2 linked regions of the Notamacropus eugenii genome follow. The main gene of each other region encodes a partner of the protein of the gene in region 2 in a complex. Links are inferred from orthologs where the notes say so. Each region holds a gene or a part of one and is shown on either strand. Other genes may lie near its edges.

Region 1 (3,747 bases), on a different chromosome or scaffold from region 2:
ACTTAACCTAAATTTTATAAGGTATTGTAAACACTCCATGAAAGAAAAAGAAAATAATCAGACCTCTTCTCTGGTACGAAGAGAGGGCCAAAACATTTTAAGTAGATTTTCCAGATTACAGGGGTGCTGCACCCCTAACCCCCTACTTCTCAATGTGGAAAGGATAACTGCATATAGTATATAGCTCATAACCCTATACTAGGGAAACATACTTCCCTAGAACCCTAAGAGTATATGAGGCCCACTTTCAGTGAAAGAATAAGATTTATAAAGAAATCCTCATGATATGGTAACTCTTATTTATCTAGAATCCAAACAATCAGGAAGCCCAAATTCCTATATCTGTTTTTCATATTGTGTATATTATTCCCATAGTTCAGCTCCACTTACCTATACTCTGGATGTGCTGTAAACGCCAAGGTAAATGTATTTCTGGACCAGCGCCTACTGATGCTTCTACTTGATCATCCTCTTCCCCAGGACTCGTTAGTTCATCACTGAAAGTATCCATATCTACTCCAAATGAAAAAGAATATTTACAAATTCTGCACATAAATCTATAGCTCAAAAAGCATTTTTAAAAAACTAACAAATATAGCATGCACTTCAATGTGCCTGGAATTTCCTTTAGTTTAAAACAAAATTGAGCTGTCAGTAGTAACTGAAATGGACCAGAAGGTAACATCCATATAAATCAATTTAAAAAGACATTTATTAAGCACTTTCAGTATATAGGCACCTAGGTGGCACAGCAGATAGAGTCCCTGGAGTCAGGCCTGGGCATGGAGTCAGGAAGACTCATCTTCCTGAGTTCAAATCTGGCCTCAGACAATTCCTAACTGTGTGACCCTGGACAAGTCACTTATCAGTGTCTGCCTCAATTGGCATGATCTCTAAGGTTCCTTCAAGCTTCAAATCTAAGATCTTAATACAAGTTTTATAGGTTTTAACAATGTAAATCAGTCATGGTTTTGCTCAAGTTAACAGATATTAACAGAGGACTGGACTTGGTGAAATTTCCTTTGATTAGTAATTATGTGACACATGCCCTCTGGGCCTCAGTTTTCTCATACAGTCTACTCAAGTCCTCTCACTGTTAAATCTGTGACAAGACACTACTGATTCTACCAGCCTGCTTTAACAAGTGATCAGAGATAGGATAAAGTGTAAAAAGAATCACAATTTTCTAATTAGTGGTTTGATGTGTAGAACAATGGTATCAATCCCAAACAGAAACAGAGTCCACTAAATTCTAAATAATAAGGATCCCTGAAGCTGCATATTAACTTAAGAAACCACATATTAACATTATCTATGTTCTATGTATATTTATTTTGCTAAATAGTTTTCAATTACTTCTTAATCTGGTTGGGAGTATTTGAGATTTCTACTGTAGACAATTACTTAATATTTTGTTATATAAGAGGAGCTTAGAATTCATTAAGAATGACAGAACAATTTAGTTGAAGAAAAACAGACAAGAAATAATCTGAGTACACCACAAAGTATTATATAATATAACAGAGGTTCATGGAATGTTAGAGGTGGATGAACCTTTAGAAATCAACTCAGCTTCCTCATTTTCAAAGGCTTAATCTTTAGGCACTTCAGCTTCTTTTTTTAAATGTGGTAAGTCATATTGTCTGCCCAAATGAAATAACACACAAGGAGCACCAGGGACAGGACCTGTCACTTCACTGACAGGGGGAACTCCTATGAGAAAACTCCTCCCACCAAGGTGGGTCAGGGCCTCTTCTATAACTCAGAGTTGTCTACAGCACCAAGTGGATAAGTGACTTGACCAGGGTCATACAGTCACTACATGTCAGCCTTGGCCCAAGGACAGCTCTCACTACATACACCATAACTCACTCTCTAAAAGCACAGGACAAGCGCCGGACTCGCACGTCCGCGTGGAGCTAAGTGACACCGTGGGCAGAGCCCTGAGCTGGAGGTCTGCAGAACCTGAGTCAGGATCAGTCCGCCGCAGCCCCTGCTTCCAAGGTGGTTGTGAGGGCATCATCAGACAGCCTACGGCATGGCCCTCGCAAGCCCCACGGATCTTTAAAGCCTCCTTTTTGTCATCCCTGCCCTGACACTTCACCACGGAGCTGCGTAATTCCCAGCAGGGCACACAAAAACGCTGGGCACCTCCGCTTCTCCTGGCTCCAGGCACTTTCTCAAACTGACCCCCGAGTCTGGACCGCTCTTCCTCCTCGGCTCTGACCACTGACCTCCCCGGCTGGTCCCAACTAAAAATCCCGCCTCCTACAGGAAGCCTTCCCCCACCCTCTGGGTTGCAGGGCTTTCCCTCGGCTCGCTATTTCCTGTTTACCTAGTATACAGCTGTCTTTGCATGGATCTGTCCGCAGGGTGTCCCCTCAATTAGACTGCGAGCTCCTTGGGGGCGGGAACTGCCCCCTGCCCAGCGCTGGGCACACGCTGGGTGTAGTAGGCGCTTGCTAGGGGTCGTGAGGTTAGGAGGAAGTTACTTTATAAACCCCCGTAGAAGTCCTTCTCCATCCCCATCATCGCCATCATCATCTTCATCGCCACCGCAGGGCTTTGATCACTAGCTTCGTAAAGTTTAGGACCTCCATCACAGAGGTTTCGTAATTGGGACGAGACTTAACAGACGACGGCCGTGACCTCACCAATTACCGCCCCTCCTCAGCCGGAGCGACGAGCAGAGGGTCCTAGGCCACCTCCCCGCCTCCGGTCTGCCCTCCCAGTTACGCGGTTACCATGGCAACCAAGCCTCGCCTCCCCGGGGGTAGAGGAGGGAAAGGAAGCGAGGGAAGGGAGAGGGCAGGGGCTCGAGTTCCCAAGGCAACAAGGCCGAGCCATTACTAAAAAAATAAATAAGCGGGCCCAGACGTAAGGGGACGTCCGAGACTAGGCCCAGTCACCGTTAGCGGCTCCTGAATCTGTGAATTCTCATTCTGACACTTACCGGAGCTCGGCTCTGGCCTCTTTCCACCTCTCCTTAGGACCCAGAGGAAACCCCGCGGAAGTTCAGACAGCCCGGGAGCATGCAGTGAAACGCACAGCGGAGCACGATCCGACGGCGCATGCGCTCGCGTGTTGCCTTATAGAGAGCGCTTGCGTCACTTCCTTTGACCCCCCCCCCCCTTTTCGGCGCCTCTCGCCTCCCCCGCTTCCGGCGTCTGAGGATCCCGCATTCCCGGAATAGGTTTTCCCGTCACTGTGGTCTCAGATCCGGAGAATGAGGGGTTTAGGGTGACACTTGAGTGCCTGGCCGCTGATGACCCCTGACCTTTGACTCTTGATGAACTTGCCAGCTTGGCTTTGCGCGCAGCTGTTGATGCGCAGAGGAAGCACGAGGACCGAGGGTTGGAGCTGTCCTGCCAGAAAGGCTTAGGCTGTCCTCGTCTGTCCGAGCGCTCCACTCCTGTTTTGGGCAGAAGAAGAAGAAAGCGGGAGACGGGAATCACTGTTAAACAGTGTTTAACTGTGCATAGTTATGATTATGCCCGTGCCAACATATTCCTAATGGATGCTTTTACTTTGCCTTGAACCTTAAAAAAGGAATTCTCCCCTTCCAGCCTTGGCAGGACACTGAGCGTCCCCTGATCACAAGTACGTGACTTGAGAAGCCAGCCAGGCTGGGCAGGAGGCGAGCAGACAGAAGCACATTTCGCCCGTCTTAGGTTTCGAGGCGCCCAGCCCAGAGACGAGCCTGCTCTGAAATAGGGTGCAGCCCTTCAAATGGAGGAGAAATTAGAC
Region 2 (3,747 bases):
AAGCTTGTTGTATTTTCTGTGCAGAAAACATCTAGGCAGTCATTCAAATTCAATTAACATTTTCTTCAACATCCTTAGCGCTGAAGACAATAAGGATCCAAGAGGATACAAAGTCACAGTCTCAAGGAGCTTATACAATTTAGTAAGCGGCTGATACACTGAAGCACTGGCAAGTGATTTGAAGAAACTCTTATAGTAGAATAGAGAGAGAGAACCCTGAAGCTGGAAGACCTGTGTTCTGGTCCCACCTCTGAAACATACTGGCTGTGATCCTGGGCAAGTCAGTTAACCTCTCATGGCTCTAAAGGAACTTAACTCTTTAGATGCAAGGAGAGGGCAGACTGCATTGGCAGAGGGAATTTCCTCACCTGAGTTTCCCTATACTAATGAAATTTCTTTCCCTATCCTTCCTAAGCCTTGTCAATTTACTCACAAGGTACCACCTCTAGTTCATCACCTCTTGCTTGGACTATTGCAATATCCACTCAATTGGTCTCCCTGCCTCAAGTCTATCTCCTCCTGTAACATATACTGGCCCCCATAAAAGTGCCAAAGTGATTTTCCTAAAGTATAGTTGCGTCTGACCATGCCACCTCCCTACTCAAAAACTTCATTATCTTATTACTTTTACCTCTAGTCAAATACAAATATCAGTTTAGTATTTAAAACCCCTCACAACATGGACCCAAATTACCTTTCCAGACTTACTACATTATTCCCCTCTCCATACTTTACAGTCTAACCTAACAGGACTTCTGGTTATTTTTTATAGCTGTTCCTCATGTAATATTCAGTGCCTTCATACAAGCTGTCCATTATATCTGAAATTCATTCCTTTCACACCCATGACTCTCAGAATCCCTAGTTTCCTTCAAAACTCAGATCAAGAGCCACTTTCTACCAGAAGTTTTTTCATGATTGCCCCCCAACACAACCACTAACCTTGCCCTTCCCTCCTCTCCCCTCAAAAGTGGGATATGGGTATACATGAGAAGTAATGTGGCATAGTGAACAAAGAGAGAGCCAGCTTTGGATGCTGAAGACTTGGGTTCCAGTACTGCCTCTGAAACATTGTGTGACCCTTTGCAAATCACTTAACCTCTAGGCAACTCTCCAAGATTTTGAATTGTAGAAAAAGTGCCAACCTGCATAAGTGGAGGGAAAATTACAATCAATCAATATTTATTATGCCCTTACTATGTTCCAGGAACTGTGCCAAGCACTGAATTTCTCATCTGGGAAGTTATCTATAAGGATTAAATCACAAGTATGTATCATATGTACATGAATACACACACATGTGAATACACAAACGTAAACAAGTTTAGAATCTCCCTAGGGGGGACAACATATACAAGGATATACACATATTTTATAGATGAGGTATGATTTAATTAATAACTAGTATGACAGTTTCTGTGGCAACTGTTCAAACACTAAGTTCCATTACAGAACATCATGAGCTTCAACATTGCGCATGTTAAACACTTCTTGTTCTGTCATGTCCTACTCTTTGTGACTCCATTGGGATTTTCTGGGCAAAGATATTCGAGTGGTTTGCCCTGTCCTTCTCCAGCTCATCTGACAGATGAGGAAACTGAAGCAAACAGGGTTCAGTAACTTGCCCAGGGTCGGCTAGAAAGTGTCTGAGGCTGGATTTGAGCCTAGGAGTCCAGGACCCGCCCCTCACCAGCCAGCCTCACCATTCTATTAAATACTATGGCACGGCACATACAGACTTAAAAAGAGTTTCCATTTTCATGCTAAGCTGAAACACTACCTATAGAAAACATCGCAGAGGAAGTAATCCCTTTACACCGCTTAACACACGTACATACGCATGTGTGTACACTTGAATACGCGGTCTCCCCAGGGAGACTCTAGTTCGTCGGGGGAAGCCGGACTATTTCATTTCCATCTCCGCATCCCCAGCGCAGTGACGGGACACAGCGGGCCCTTGTGATTCCAGAGGGATCGCCGGCCTTTCCAGCGGAGGCGCGGCGGGCCGTGTCACCAGGCCCGGTCACAAGAGAAGCCGCGAACCCGCGCGTTAGGGGCTGGGGAAGGCCCCGACGTCCTCCCCGCGCCGCGGCAGGGGGGGACGCTCCGGGGAGGGGGCGCTCAGGCCGAAGCCTGCGGGCCAGCCCCCAACTCCAGGCCCCCACGCCCCGCATCCTACGCGGACCTCTCTGCCACCCATCTGACGCCCCCGATCGAGGAGAGGGTCACCCCTCACCTCCAGGCGGGAAAGATGGTGGGCCCCAGCCACTTACCCGGTCCTCGAAGCCCCCGGAGACGTGACAGCGGAGCCCGGGGCTGGCGCTACAGCGGCCGCGGCCCCGTCTCCGGGCAGCCGCGTGTGGAGCAACGGGGCCGCCATAGGAACAGCTGAGCGAGAGGAGTTTGCCCCGGAAGTGATGCTGGCTCATAGCGGCCCGAACCGGAACTTGACTCGCTAAACTCCTCCCCTTCCACATGCTCCCAGCCAGTCTGAGGAGCTACGAGGGAGCGCCTGGGAGAGAGGGCGATCTTTCTTTGGGGCTAGAGCGTCGGCTTGGCCTCGGCTTGGCGCTCCCTTGCGGCGGGGCGGGGCGGAGCGGCGCCGGGGCTTCCCTGTCTGGGTGGGCGGGTTCTTGTGTTTGTCCTTGGGTCTCGAAGAGGACCGTGACGTCACGATGACGGCGTGACTTGCAGGTGACTGATTTGAGTGAGGGAGGGCTGCGCGAGGGCCCCAGCCTCCCCTTCTCCTCCGGAGCCATGTGGGCCCAGTGGCCTGAGGTGGCCCGGGAGGCGGTGGGAGACCCTGCCCTCTCCCTTTGGGTGAGAAGCCCCCATTCCGAGAAGAGGCTTCTTTAAGTTACTCAAGGGATGGCCACTTTACTAATAATAATCAGACTGGGAGGGGAAGCCCCTGGGGCTTCCTAGGGGAAAGAGAAACGATTCCTATTTAGTTATCATACCCCCTGTGCCGGGTGGGTGGGCACTTGTCCAGCGGTCAGCTCCAGAGTGAATTGGGTTTGAGGCTTGGCCTTGGAGCAGGACATGGAGCCAGTAAACAAAAAGGCAGCTTTTCTGGGTGGCAGAGAGAGTGCCGAGGGAGGAGTACATTTGGAAATAAAAGTGGTAAACACAAAATGCATCAACAAACGTTGAAAAGAACCAAAAAAATTAATCTTCCATAAGAAAAGTGTCATTGCTTGTGTTCTGATGTGGAAACGTGAGGCACCATCAGGATTGTCCTGAACTGGGGCGTTTGAGGGAGAATGACATTATTTGGGGATAAAGACACCAACTGAAAGGGTCCCAACCTCAGTTATTTATAATTTTTGTGCTCCATAGTGTTAGAGACAAACTTGACACACGAAAAAGGTATCAAAATCTATTAAAAATGGAGTTCAGAATAGGGAAGGCCTAAGTTCCTTTTAGGAAGGAAGGGGTAGCTTCCAGCATGGCTCCCGGAAAGACTTCGATCAGGTCATGATGAGTCAGGACCCTTATAGAATTCTGAACTTTGGATTTCCTTCCATATGGTCCGCTGGCCGTGTGACTTCATGTTCTCCTCTGATAGGGTATTCCTCACACAGCCCCTTGGGCCTGCACATTAGTTTCTGACCTCTAGCCTGTCACAACCCCCCATCAAAGTATGGAAATAAAACTTGCTTCCTGTTTTCCCACAATAGCATTCTGGAGTCCTATGAGCGCAAAATTTTTGATAGGGTTTTGGGCATAAGCTCTCAAGTAAAAGGG

Evidence for each region.
Region 1: RRN3 (region 2) and TAF1A share a complex: the UniProt entries of both Homo sapiens proteins name them as parts of the pol I pre-initiation complex. The link is inferred for Notamacropus eugenii from reciprocal best matches to the Homo sapiens genes RRN3 and TAF1A.

What each region holds. Positions count from the first base shown.
Region 1 is NC_092873.1:414,094,364-414,098,110, reverse strand, and holds the start of TAF1A (TATA box-binding protein-associated factor RNA polymerase I subunit A), read right to left. Parts: upstream 2,246-3,747; 5' UTR 2,024-2,245; coding exon 1,873-2,023; intron 514-1,872; coding exon 391-513; intron 1-390. UniProt on the Homo sapiens protein: Component of the transcription factor SL1/TIF-IB complex, which is involved in the assembly of the PIC (pre-initiation complex) during RNA polymerase I-dependent transcription.
Region 2 is NC_092872.1:95,690,614-95,694,360, reverse strand, and holds the start of RRN3 (RNA polymerase I-specific transcription initiation factor RRN3), read right to left. Parts: upstream 2,428-3,747; 5' UTR 2,381-2,427; coding exon 2,274-2,380; intron 1-2,273. UniProt on the Homo sapiens protein: Required for efficient transcription initiation by RNA polymerase I (Pol I). Required for the formation of the competent pre-initiation complex (PIC).